Linked DNA regions of Callithrix jacchus. Each later gene encodes a partner of the first gene's protein in a complex. Links are inferred from orthologs where the notes say so. Each region holds a gene or a part of one and is shown on either strand. Other genes may lie near its edges.

The links.
Region 2: the proteins of S100B (region 1) and CAPZA2 are in contact, whole or in part, in a crystal structure (PDB 3RM1), measured with the Bos taurus proteins. The link is inferred for Callithrix jacchus from reciprocal best matches to the Homo sapiens genes S100B and CAPZA2. Residues at the interface, in NP_001029727.1 of Bos taurus: Ile37, His43, Phe44, Leu45, Glu46, Ile48, Lys56, Val57, Thr60, Phe77, Met80, Ile81, Ala84, Cys85, Phe88; in NP_001013016.1 of Bos taurus: Thr267, Lys268, Ile269, Trp271, Ile274, Leu275.
Region 3: the proteins of S100B (region 1) and CAPZA1 are in contact, whole or in part, in an NMR structure (PDB 1MQ1), measured with the Homo sapiens proteins. The link is inferred for Callithrix jacchus from reciprocal best matches to the Homo sapiens genes S100B and CAPZA1. Residues at the interface, in NP_006263.1 of Homo sapiens: Glu46, Glu47, Lys49, Val53, Lys56, Val57, Thr60, Phe77, Met80, Val81, Ala84, Cys85, Glu87; in NP_006126.1 of Homo sapiens: Thr265, Arg266, Ile269, Asp270, Trp271, Asn272, Lys273, Ile274, Leu275.

Annotation. Positions count from the first base shown.
Region 1 is NC_133522.1:52,192,057-52,196,001, forward strand, and holds the start of S100B (protein S100-B), read right to left. Parts: upstream 2,801-3,945; 5' UTR 2,732-2,800; intron 646-2,731; 5' UTR 203-645; coding exon 65-202; intron 1-64. UniProt on the Homo sapiens protein: Small zinc- and- and calcium-binding protein that is highly expressed in astrocytes and constitutes one of the most abundant soluble proteins in brain.
Region 2 is NC_133512.1:87,439,903-87,444,013, forward strand, and holds the start of CAPZA2 (F-actin-capping protein subunit alpha-2), read left to right. Parts: upstream 1-1,311; 5' UTR 1,312-1,423; coding exon 1,424-1,462; intron 1,463-4,111. UniProt on the Homo sapiens protein: F-actin-capping proteins bind in a Ca(2+)-independent manner to the fast growing ends of actin filaments (barbed end) thereby blocking the exchange of subunits at these ends.
Region 3 is NC_133508.1:150,580,645-150,584,784, reverse strand, and holds the start of CAPZA1 (F-actin-capping protein subunit alpha-1), read right to left. Parts: upstream 2,801-4,140; 5' UTR 2,774-2,800; coding exon 2,735-2,773; intron 2,707-2,734; coding exon of another isoform or gene 2,620-2,706; exon of another isoform or gene 2,491-2,619; intron 1-2,490. Other genes in the region: ST7L (suppressor of tumorigenicity 7 protein-like), read left to right, coding at 3,481-3,685. UniProt on the Homo sapiens protein: F-actin-capping proteins bind in a Ca(2+)-independent manner to the fast growing ends of actin filaments (barbed end) thereby blocking the exchange of subunits at these ends.

The DNA of each region.
Region 1 (3,945 bases):
CCAGTGTACAGTGGCTTTGTAAGAGGAGATGGGGAAAGTGTCAAGTTTAAAAAGCAAGACTCACCTCTAGGAAATGGGAAAGCTCATGGTTGATGAGCTCCTTCAGTTCGGATTTCTTCAGCTTGTGCTTGTCTCCCTCCCTTCCGGAATACTGGTGGAAAACGTCGATGAGGGCCACCATGGCCTTCTCCAGCTCAGACATCCTAGGGGCTCACAAAGGAAAGATGCCTTCTCATCTATACCTCATCGTAAGCATTTCGTGTGTTATCGACACAGACCTCAACCCAGACAAGGGGGATGGGCTGGCCTTGCATTCTTTTCAAGCTCAGAGCAGCAGGCAACGCCTGGAAGGGCATTCAGGAAATTTGTGCTTTCATCACAGTCCTCCCACCTGCCTCTTAGACACATGTGGGCCTGCCTTCTCTGTCCCTCTGAGCCACAGGGATATCTTCCCATGCCCTCTGGCTTCTGGTTGGGTTGGGTGAATGGGAAAACTTCAGCAAAAATACAGAGGCAGAGCAGAAAGGGAATTCAGGGATTAATTTCTGCTTCCCGCAGGGTCCCTCTCTGTCCTTGTAAAGCTCCAAGATGAGGTGGTCGAGTGCAGGTGAGCAAAGCATGAACTGCAAGCTGGTGAGACGGTGACTAGGAGCAAAATAAGAAGACAAAAATCAACAGCATTCCTCTTTTCTATCAATAAAGAAGTAGAGAATACAGTGCAAGACACCCTTTTCATATAGCAATGACAGGTGCTGTAGGAGTAAGTTTAGGAGGAAAAATGCAGGTGCTTCCAAGAGATTCTGAGAAACATAAAACGTAGGAACTTTTTCCTTTAAATTCAAATGTAAATTTAAATCATCTTTAATAAAAATAATGGAATTTTTTGGGTGGGTGACATGACAAAAACAGCTGTAAAATTCATCAGGACAAATAAATATGGTAGAATTGCCACGATCTTTTTGAAGAATAACAATAAAAGGTAACTGACCTACCAGGAAAAAAAAAAATGTATCTTAAGTTTAATTGATTAAATGGGTGTGGTTCTGTCGCAGGGAAGGACAGAACCCAGCAGAAAGCTGAGCTGCTGAGCAAGCATTCCACCTCCCGTGCAGGGAAATGGTGGCTCATTCACTGCGGTAACTGGGACGGTACAGGAATATGCTTCTCTGCCGCAATCTCAGTAAGAGCCCTCCTGCTCCCTCACAGCAAGTACCGTACGTCACAGCCTACAAACCAAGGAAATACCTGGTCAGTCTGGGAATGAGGCGCATTTTACAAAGGATGCCTTGTCAGTTGTTTCACTGAACAGACGCGCAGGCAGAGAGATTTACCAGCTTTTGGCCTCGGATTCTAATCATTAAATGAGAACATTTGCACTGTTATAATTAAAAATAAATTAATAAATCAAATATTATCAAAAATCATTCCTATGTTGAATAGATCACTTACATCTTAAAAATAATTTGGAATTAGATGTAAAAATTTTTATTTATTTCTGATCCTCCAAAGGAAACAGGACTGGAGATTTTTTTATACTGGCCAGATCTTTGCTAAAGTCATTGTATTAATAATCAGTATACTTCACAAATAGAACAGCTAAGAGGGATTAAAATTTTTTAGCATTTCATGTTTTCTTATTCTTTGCACTAAAATGTTCGGTTATTGATGTGTATGTGTGCGTGTGCGTGTGTGTATTTTAAAAAACCACACAAAACAAAATACACTTTTGCATCATTCTGATGCTCCTCAAAGTTGGTGATGATTTAGGGAAAAGGAGGTTAAATTGTTTTTCTGCGAATTATGACTAATGGGATTTTTACAAAGGAAAGGCATAAAACATGTATTCCATATATTAGAACCCTAATAGAAACCACTAGAAAATACGGTTTTCTTCATAACCACACTACAAATCAATTAAAAAATTTTTGTTAAATTTTTCCCTTTGACTTAAGAAACAGTTGATGGTTTACAGTTTATCTTGTAAGATAAATGGAAATAAATATCCATTTCTTTCTTACATTCTGTAGATGTTCTACATTAACCTTCTAATATTGAGAACAAGAGAATATTTGAACTTTAACTCCTTCGACAGTTTAGCTAGTGCGTGAAGATCCCTCTAAAGAAGGGGTTCGACTCCCTGAGAAACTGTAAGACTGAGGAAAGTTAAAACTCGCCAAAACTCCACTTTCTTGGACCCAATTTATCTGTAATTGTTATGTAATTTCTGAGTGGTGTCCTGGGGCTGCGGGGACCCTGGCTTTTTAAACTGAGGGAAACTGGAAAACTGAAGTTACTTACCCAGGGCGGTGGAAGAAGTAAGAGGGAGAAAAGGAAAGCATTTATTTATGATATAGGACTAAACTAGCATTAGATTCTCTCTCATTTTCAGCCCCAGTGGGAAACAAAAACCTTGCTCTTCAAATCGTTACAGAAGAGGCAGTGTTTGTAGTATCACTGGGAAAATGTCAACAATCACTTCTGGACCATGAGAGCTGAGGTTTCTCTGATTTATGGCAAAACACAGGCAAACAGCTCTGGCTGTCTAGGGCTGGTGCGGTCGGGTGTCCACAAAGCAGCAATGAAGTGGAGATTAAAGCACATCGTGCTATTGACCCTTCTGAAATGCTGCCAATTATCCTAAAGGGATAGTTTCTACCCCTCCTCCACCACCCTGTTCCACCCAAAACAAAACCATTTCTTCCTGAGCGTCCTCCTGGCCTGGCTCTCTCACCTCTTCCGCGTCTCACCCTTCCTTGTCTCCTTGCTGCAGGCCTCGTCTCTGCTGCCGGTCCTGGAGGGCAGGACTGGTGCACAGGGGCAACCTCTTATCCCCTCTGCCCAGGGAGGACGGATGAACCCAGGTGCAGCCCACTGCAGGCTGTGACAGCCAATGGGGGCCGAGGGTGGGGGCGGCAGGGCTGCCAGGCTGGCACACAGGGCTGCATTGACCAAGCAGCCCGGGGACTTGCCAGGAGCCAGGATTGCACACGGGCTGAGGAAGAAGAAGGGCCTGTGGGGCAGGAAGTGGGGAGTCAGCTTTTTGTGCTATTTATTTGTTACATGAATATTGATGTTCTGCTGAAGGCAAGGTTGGGGGTGGAGAGAGAGAGACTTGGGCTAATTGATTCAAACAAAGCAAATGTGCAGCCAAGAACCAGAAGCTTCCAAGTACAGGCTGAGCGTAGGAGAGTAGGTGGCCTGCGATCTGGCTTCCGATGGAGAGACCCCTGGAGCCTCTCTCCTCTGCCAGCCTCCATGGCTGGCCCCACTGGGCGCGGGCTTCTGTGGACAGTAGTGCTTGTCCGTGGTCAGCCCTGGGTTCAACAGGGCTGCCTCACAGAAGCTGCTGAGCCCCGTGTCTGCAGGGACTGAAATGTGTGGTACTTTGAGGGGAAAGTCCTTGTTTAGCGTGATGTGGATTGTATCCCAAGGCCTTATGCTCCACCCCAGTGTGGAAGGTCACAGACCGGCAGAGTCGCACAATGCCTTAGAGATGCCCTATCCGAACGCTGTTTTACAGAGGTGTGTGGATGCTGTGCCCCTTGCCGAAGCCTCGAAGGAGAAATCCAGTCGTCCCCTCTATGTGCCCTATGTGAGTCTCTGAGTGCAGGGGCCAGTTTGCGGGTTCTTCACAGGAGGGAAGAAGTGGGCGTGCCTTCTGACAAATCACACAAAAGCATTGGCCCAAACTCTCCACACATGTCCATGGGCCCCAAAGGATGCCTGACCCTGCGTCAGGTCCTTCTCCCCACCCAGTTTCAAAGTGGTTGTGGAAGGGTTTCCCACAAGATACCTGTGTACATGGCTGTTTTGCTGTCACCTGTTTTATCTAGAAAGTTCTCTCATTCAGCATCCGTAAGTGTGCCCTGGAAACAGCACGGGGCTGAAAGCTGTGGTCTTGCATGGCTGAGCATGCCCCAGCCTCCTGTGAGGAAGGACCTGAGC
Region 2 (4,111 bases), on another chromosome or scaffold:
CCTGGAATAGTCCAATGCCTTCCCCAACTATTTTGTTGTTTGGCTTTTGGTTTTTTTTGTTTTTGAGTCTTGCTCTGTCGCCCAGGCTGGAGTGCAATGACTCGATCTCGGCTCACTGCAACCTCCCCCTCCAGGGTTCAAGCAATTCTCTTGCCTCAGCCTCCCAAGTAGCTGGTACTACAGGCATGTGCCACCATGGCTTGGCTAATTTTTGTATTTTTAGTAGAGAGAACTTTCTCCATGTTGGCCAGTCCGGTCCCGAACTCCTGACCTCAGGTGATCCTCCCACCGAGGCCTCCCAAAGTGCTGGGATTACAGGCCTGAGCCACTACACCCAGCCCCAGCTGTTCAATGTATGTTTGTTTAGAGTAGTAGGTGAGCTTCCTAGAACAGAAGTTTGTCTTATTGAAATAAATAGTTTTGGAGTACAGGTGGATTTTTGGTTACATGGATAAGCCCTTTAGTGGTGATTTCTGAGATTTTAGTGCAGCCATCACCTGAGCAGTGTACCCTGTTCCCGGTATGTAGTCATTTATCCCCTCCCCAATCCCCAAAGTCCATTTTATGCCTTTGCACCCCCAGAACTTAGCTCACCCTTTTAAGTGAGAACATAGGATATTTGGTTTCCTATTACTGAGTTACTTCACTTAGAATAATGGCTTCCAGCTCCTTTCAAGTTGCTGCAAAAAATATTATTTCCTTCTTTTTTATGGCTGAGTAGTATTCCATGGTGTATATATACCACATTTTCTCTATCCCCTCGTTGGTTGATAGACACTTAGGTTGGTTCCATCTCTGCAATTGCGAATTGTGCTGCTATGAACATGCATGTCTAGCTTGCTTTGGGGGAACCTCAACACTGTAACCCCGGAGACTAACACAGTGCCCCACACCCCGTTGAAGGACCAAAAAATATTTGTTGGATAAATAAGAAATATATCAAGAGCAATCTTTCAATTATGGAGCGGGTTGGGTGTGTGTATTTTAATGAAAGCCGACTATTTTTTCTAATATTTGAAAAACCAATGTTTAAAAAGCTTCTATTGCACACCTTTTCACATTTTAGCTAGCAGAGTTCAGGACTTGATGGAAACATAACGAAGGGCTCAGAATGTACTCATCGCAGACTGAGCCCATATGGTCACTGGTGGGGAGAGAAAGCTAGCAAACCTATGCAGGTGGCCCTGGGAGACACCGTCCCCCGCCGGGCCACCAGGCGCCCGCGCACGCGCACGCGCACAGCCGCGCTCAGGCTCTGAGGGCCGGTCGAGGGAGGCGGGGCTCCCGGGGCGCGTGCGCGGCGGCCTGAGCGGCGGGCCCCTCCCTTAGCGGGGGTGCGCGGCGCGGAGGACCGCACGGAAAAGGGGAAGTCAGGTGGCCGCCGCCGCCGCCGCCGCCGCCGCGGTTTGTCGCTAGAAGGAAGATGGCGGATCTGGAGGAGCAGTTGTCTGATGAAGAGAAGGTAAGAGCCGCGGGGGCGGCGGCGCGGGCCTTCAGGAGCCGGCTCAGCCCTGGCTTGTGCGCCCGGAGTCGGGTCGCTGGGGAAGCATTGGCCCGCAGCGGGCGGTGCCCTCGGCTGCCCTTCCTCCCCCCTTCCTCACTGCGCCCAGTGCCTGCCCCCGTCCGTCACCCGAGGCCCCGCGCGGGGGCAGGTCTCAGCCAGGCCTACTCACTCCGCTCCTTGTAGGGTGTGTGCTCCGAAAATAGGAAAGGGGAGCCAGGCGGCGGCGGGCGGGGGCGGGGGCGCGGGCGCCGGGGAGGGCGGCGGCCGCCCGGGACCCTCTCCTGTTACCCGGCCGCGGGGCCTGCGCCGGGAGCTGGGGGCCGGGGGCCGGGGACCGGGGACCGGGGGCGCAAAGGGGTCTGCGTCCCGGCTTGGGAGCGGCCCAAGGGCAGTGCCCAGAGCGGCAGCCTGGCCTGTGAGTGTAGCGGCGGGTGAGGGGAAGGGAAAAATTGCTTAGGAAGCAGACCTTCAGTTCTCCCTTCTACTTCCCCCTCCCCAAAGCAAAATGCTTCCTTTTCTGATTCTCTACGTTTTATGCTTTTTTTTTTCCTTTCCCCATGGAGGCCTGTCTCTCTCCCGCCCGCCCGCCCTCTCACTTCGTGGCTCTAGCTTTAGGCTTTGCAGCTCCCATGTTCCTCAAGAGGCAGTGGAGTTGCTCACAAAAAGACGACCCCCTCCCCATAGTTGTTTTCTATCCACGTTGGCAGCAGCCCCCCCGGGGGGCGATTTGATGGCACCTTACCTTCCTGCTAGGACTTCTTCCGAAGAGGGGAAATTGTGCAAGTCCTTTTACTGTATGTTAGATGCTGTGACAACACTGGAACCAGGTGAACGACATAAGTTCTCAGATATTTAAAACGAGAAATCGAATAATTCATTGAACTGTTGCTCTTTTACACTCTCCTTTCCTTTGGCTTTTGCGAACGTCCGGTTCCCGAGGGTAGTGGGGTAGGGGAGAACTCTGCTAATTTTGACAGTTTCTCGGAAAGGAACCTGAGGTTTCTCAAACTTAGAAGTACTCCCGAAGTAACTGACAGACACGAATGAGTTAGTTGCAGGGTTGGAAATGCTCTTTAACTCTTCGTTAAAGTGTGCTTCATTTTTAAGTTCCAAAGCTGTATAGCCAATGCAGGAAAATACAAGTACCTTTAGGTACGTTGTGGTGGTTAACAGATCCTCACGTAAGTTTGAGGATATTTTCAATTTGGACCCTCTGCTCTAGATGTTTTTATATACTGTATTCTTGCACTGAAAGAGAAGGTTCCGTCCCATTCCCGATGTGAATGGGCAGAAGTCAATCTCATCTTTATTTTGGAAATATTTTTTCCTCTTGTGCTCTTTGGTGAAAGTGATAATACAGCAACAAAATGGGGGTGAGCAACATCTCCATAACCCCCAGTAGGCAGATCCCTGTATCCAGAAAAGTTGCTGTGCAGTATTCACGTCTACAGTCTTGGTAAATAACCCAAAGTAGCTGTCCGAAAATGCACTGGAGTGCACAAACACATATTTAAAATTGAGTTGTGCTAAAAAGTTTAAAAAGAGATTGTCACGTTTTTATTTTACCATTCTTAAGTCGTAATTAGTAGTTGCTCAAGTGGCTAGAAATTTAGCTGAAGAGAGAATACTGTGTGGGAGTTAATATAGACCTGCCATGTGTTGTAAAGGCCTAAAATTAAAAAGCTTTTAAAAAATGGGTTTACAAAATTCCTTATTATCCAGCAGTCTCAGGGCACTAAGCTTCATGAGGAGGAGTGAGGAGGTTGTGTGTCTTCAAGCTTGCGCCGCCTACTAGCAAAATGTTTTATGGGTAAATTAGTGAAAATTCTAATTTGATTTTTGGTGTTTTGTAAGAATATTCTGTAGATATTATACATATAAATTTCATCACTATATTTACTAATTAAAAAACTGACAGAACTTTTGGGGTAAATGCAAGTAACCAGTTAAGTGAAATTTTAACGTTCTTGTCACTTTAGATATCTAAAGGTATTTTTCATTTTGGGGTGGAGGATGTGTCCAGTATGGGATCAGAAACAGAGAGGACTTGAAAGTGATATATTAATATTTCTCTTTCTACCGTCTTTTTGGTAATTTTCAAAAATAAGTTCTCAAGCTGGACACAGTGGTTTGCACCTGTAATGCCAGCTACTCTGGATGCCAAATGCGGAGAATTGCTTGAGCCTAGAAGTTGTAAACCAGTTGGGCAACATAGTGAGACCTCATCTCTAAAAAATAATAAGTTTTAAGTTTTCGAAATTTCCATTCTAGATTGCAAATCTAAGAAAGGGAAGCTGTTAAGATGTATCTAGTACTATACTTTATATATGCTTGGCTGAGTTAGATACATTCATTACTTAATTTGTTTTAAGAGGTAGTTGTCCTACTACCATTTCACAGATGAGTAGAGTGAAGTTCAAAAGCTTTTAGTAGGCCGGGCGCGGTGGCTCAAGCCTGTAATCCCAGCACTTTGGGAGGCCGAGGCGGGTGGATCACGAGGTCAAGAGATCGATACCATCCTGGTCAACATGGTGAAACCCCGTCTCTACTAAAAATATAAAAAATTAGCTGGGCGTGGTGGCGCGTGCCTGTAATCCCAGCTACTCG
Region 3 (4,140 bases), on another chromosome or scaffold:
CAATGAAAAGAACCCAAAGAAGTAGTTCATCTCGTATTTCAGGCTTCCTAGTTATGGTATCTTGGTCTTGCTAAGCATGTAACTAAAAAGCTCAAGTTCATTTTCAGAAACTGTGAACTCAAAGAGAACTAAAACGTTTATTTCTAAAAGTTATTACACGTTCAACTTCCTGTTTTATTTAGACAGCTCATCATGACCATTTCAGGTAACGAAACCCAACTTCCTCTTTATAAAGTGACTAAAAAAAAAACTTCAGTGGTTAGTTATGAGAATGGATGATTTTACTAGCTTTTACAGAAATATTTATAAGGAAATTAGAGTCCATTCATTATCACCAAATTTTCTAAAGGTTTACTGCCTTTAGAAAATGTAACAAAGATAAAAAGCAATAATGACATATATTTGGCAACAAAAGAAGTATGCTAGAAGAGGAAACTGGTCCCAGACCTGCTATTATCAAACCAAGACTGGACCTGCACGGTAGCTCACATCTGTCTGTAATCCCAGCACTTTGAGAGGCCGAGGTGAGAGGATCATGAGGTCAGGAGTTTGAGATCAGCTTGGCCAACACAGTGAAATCCTGTCTCTACTAAACATACAAAAATTAGCTGGACATGGTGGCAGGCACCTGTAATCCCAGGTTTTGGATTACATGCACCTGTAATCCCAGGTTTTGGATTACATGCACCTGTAATCCCAGGCTCTGGAGGCTGCAGCAGGAGAATTGTTTGAACCCAGGAGGCAGAGGTTGCAAGGAGCTGAGACCATGCCACTGCAATCCAGCCCGGGTGACAGTATGAGACTCTGTCTCAAAATAAAAACAACCCAAGACTATTAACGTTATTAATTAAAACACTGTCAGTATCTAAAGGCATCTTAATTGGCACTTTAAAAAATATATTTTCCCAAGTTTAATTAAAGGCATTCTAACCTGGTATCAAAGACAAAAATCCAACAACACTGGTCAATGTGTACCACAAAGGCACAATAAACTGAAAAGTTTATTATTCAAATTATTTGTGAAATTTTGGCTGGGTGCAGTGGCCGAAGCCTGTAATCCCAGCACTTTAGGTGGCTGAGGTGGATGGATCGCTTGAGCCGAAGAGTTGGAGACCAGCCTGGGCAACAAGACGAAACCCAGTCTCTACAAGAAATACAAAAATTAAATGGGCATGGTGGCGCAAGCCTGTAATTCCAGCTCCTTGGGAGGCTGAGGCAGGAGAATCACTTGAACCCGGGAGGCAGAAGTTGCAGCAAGCCAAGATTGCACTAATGTACTTCAACCTGGGTGACAGAGCAACGCTTTGTTTCAAAAAAAAAAACTGTGAAATTTTACTGAAACAGTATTTTTGCTTACTTTTATTTGAATTGTTAACTATTTCCTTTAGAACAATTTATTATAGATTGATTTCCAGCCTAAGCTCATATATAAATGTTTTTGTTTTTGTCCTAAATCTTAAACATTTATGAAGATCGGTTTCCAAATAAGAGAAAATCTAATGCTGTTGTTGTTCGATGGCTTGTTAAGCATTTTAAAATGGCATGCCATATGTAGCTGATCAAGTTATTTTGTACAGAGGTCTTATGGATCTTAACAGTCCCCTCCCCATTCCAATTTCTTATTAAAAAAGATCCAGGTGGATTTACAGAGTACTCAAGGGGGCACATTTTCTAATAGCCACAGTGCGAGACAAATGTAATAATTCTTGCGCAATAAGTTGTCTTGTGAGATCCACTCTAAGTTCTATGTGCCCTAAAATCATGTACTTACTGAAAAACCTGACAAACTGTTATGAAACTGTGCAACTGTCAGAAGAAAAGTTAGTCCACCTAACTTAGAATGTGCTCTTGTATTTGAGACAATTTTCAAGAAATCAGTATACACATTGCACACTGACAAATTCAACTAATCAGACTCCACAGTGGAGCATCAAAGAAGACAGGATGCTTTGTCCAGACTTGAATGTGTTAACATGAGGTTTATTATGTGTTAACAGAAAACCTTTCTGGAGGCGAAGAAAATCCATCAGCGATTCTAGATTTGTTAACAAGAAACAAAATTTTCAAAAATTATCGTTAAAAGGATGTGTCTACAGGGAAAGACTGGTGTTCGAATTCTGAAGCAAAGGCCCTGAGGCTCACAGATTACATCGAATCAGTCAGGCGACAGTACGTGAGAAAAAGTAGTGGATGTGTAGTGAGGTGGACATTTGGGACCTCTCTCTGTCGAGGAGTCGTGACAGCAAAATCACTTCCTGAGGAAGGAGGAGCAAAAGGGAAGTTAAGAGGCCATCCTGATCAGGAAGTGACTGGCCCTAAACTAACCCCACTTGTATCTACAAATGGGGGGATGGGGTGAGCCCCAACTGCTAAAGGCGGTAAAACAACTGCTTTATGGTATGGCGCAACACAACCGTCACCCCCGCTCAGGATTACAGAACAAAGTCCACAGTCACCATCCAATAAAGGAAACGTCTGTTCCCTTGCAGGGAGGCCCCTGGGCTGTGCCTTAGGCCCGGGAGGAAAGGAGAGTCGAGGAACGAGGAACTGGGGCCACCGTGAGGCAGAGGAAAGCCCCGCAAAAGGGAAGCGTCCCGACTGCGGAGAGCGTATGTCAGCATGGGCCAAGAAGTTTCTTTTTCCTGGAGACACTGCCAGGCTCCCAACGCATCCCGGCCGGGCCCCTGTTCCCTGTCGCGGGAGGAGGTAAGAGAAAGAGGCGGACACCCCTTACCTTCTCCTCATCCGACACACGATCATCGAAGTCGGCCATCTTGGGCTGTTCTGGCCCAGCCCGGCTGCGAGCGCGAGGCAGGCCGGGAAGGAAGCCGAGTGATGGAATCACCGCGGGGGCCGTCGGAAGGACCCGCCCGGAAACGCCGACCAAGAGGGCGCCATGTCAGTTATGCGCGGGGGTGACGTCTCCTAGCGCCAGCGCCCTAGGAAGTCAGCTTTGCCTTCGGCGATCTGAAGTCTAATATCTTTCTCATTCCTCATCCATCTGATGGGCGCTGGCAGCGTGTTTCCATTTTTCTTGGCTCCTGGCCTCCATCCAAGTAGCTATTGCTGCTTCTATAAGTTTTTCCGGTACCCGTTTATCTTCCTGACAACCGAGTCCAAAGCTCTAAGAGCTGCTCGGCCGTTGGAACGATCCGTGGCTTTTCCAACCCCGGGGGGGGGGCAGGGGTGTGAAAGGTGACGCTCATCTCGCTTGGAAGCAGTTAACACTTCACTTTGGGGTCACATCTCAGTCCAGTCCTCCAGAACAGGCATTGCTGTCCGCCCCTTCCCTGCCCCACGAAGGAATATGTAGTCCCAATCTTGGGACACGCTCCTCCACCTTCGAAATCTTCTCGGTCCCGGTTCCCCAGGACTCAGCCTTCACAGAGACCAACTGAAGGTCCGCCACTATCCCAGGATTCCCGACTCCCGGTTTCCTGTCCTCCCCTCCCAGCTCCCGGCGCCTGCGGTAGCGGCAAGATGGCGGACCCTGGTTGTTTGGCGGAAGCCGAGGCTGCTGGAACGTGTCCTGCACTTGTTCTCGGCCTAAATCCGACTCTGGGCTGGAGGGAGCGACTGCGGGCCAGATTGGCGGGGACTGGGGCCTCGTTGTGGTTCGTGGCGGGACTGGGACTGCTTTACGCTCTGAGGATCCCTTTGAGGCTGTGTGAGAATTTGGCAGCGGGTGAGCGGACCAGACCCTCTGGGGCAGGGCTGGGGGCCAGGAAAGGTGTTGTGGGCAAGAGCCAAAGGGCAGACATTCTCGGTAGTTATGACTCTGAGGAGTCGACGATGCGTGACCAAGTGCGTTCTTTTTCTTTTGGGCTGCAACCTTGCAGTTGATTGTCAAACCTGCTGCCGCTACCGGCTGGCTCCTCCCTAGAACTCCTAAGGTCCGCCCTCTCTCTTCTGTCCTCGTTTTTTCCGTGGAAAAGCCACCTGACAAACTGTAAGCTTCAGGTATGAGGGCACAAGAGTGCATTCTCAGATTAGGATACATAATTTCTGTACAGCCCCACCACTGGTAGGATCCCTTCAAAGTCATCACTTTGAGTCCCGCCCAGCTGGGAGAACTCACACCCGGACCAGGAAGATGAGCACATCTGTAGTTTAAAGATTTCAAAGAAAGAAAATGGCATG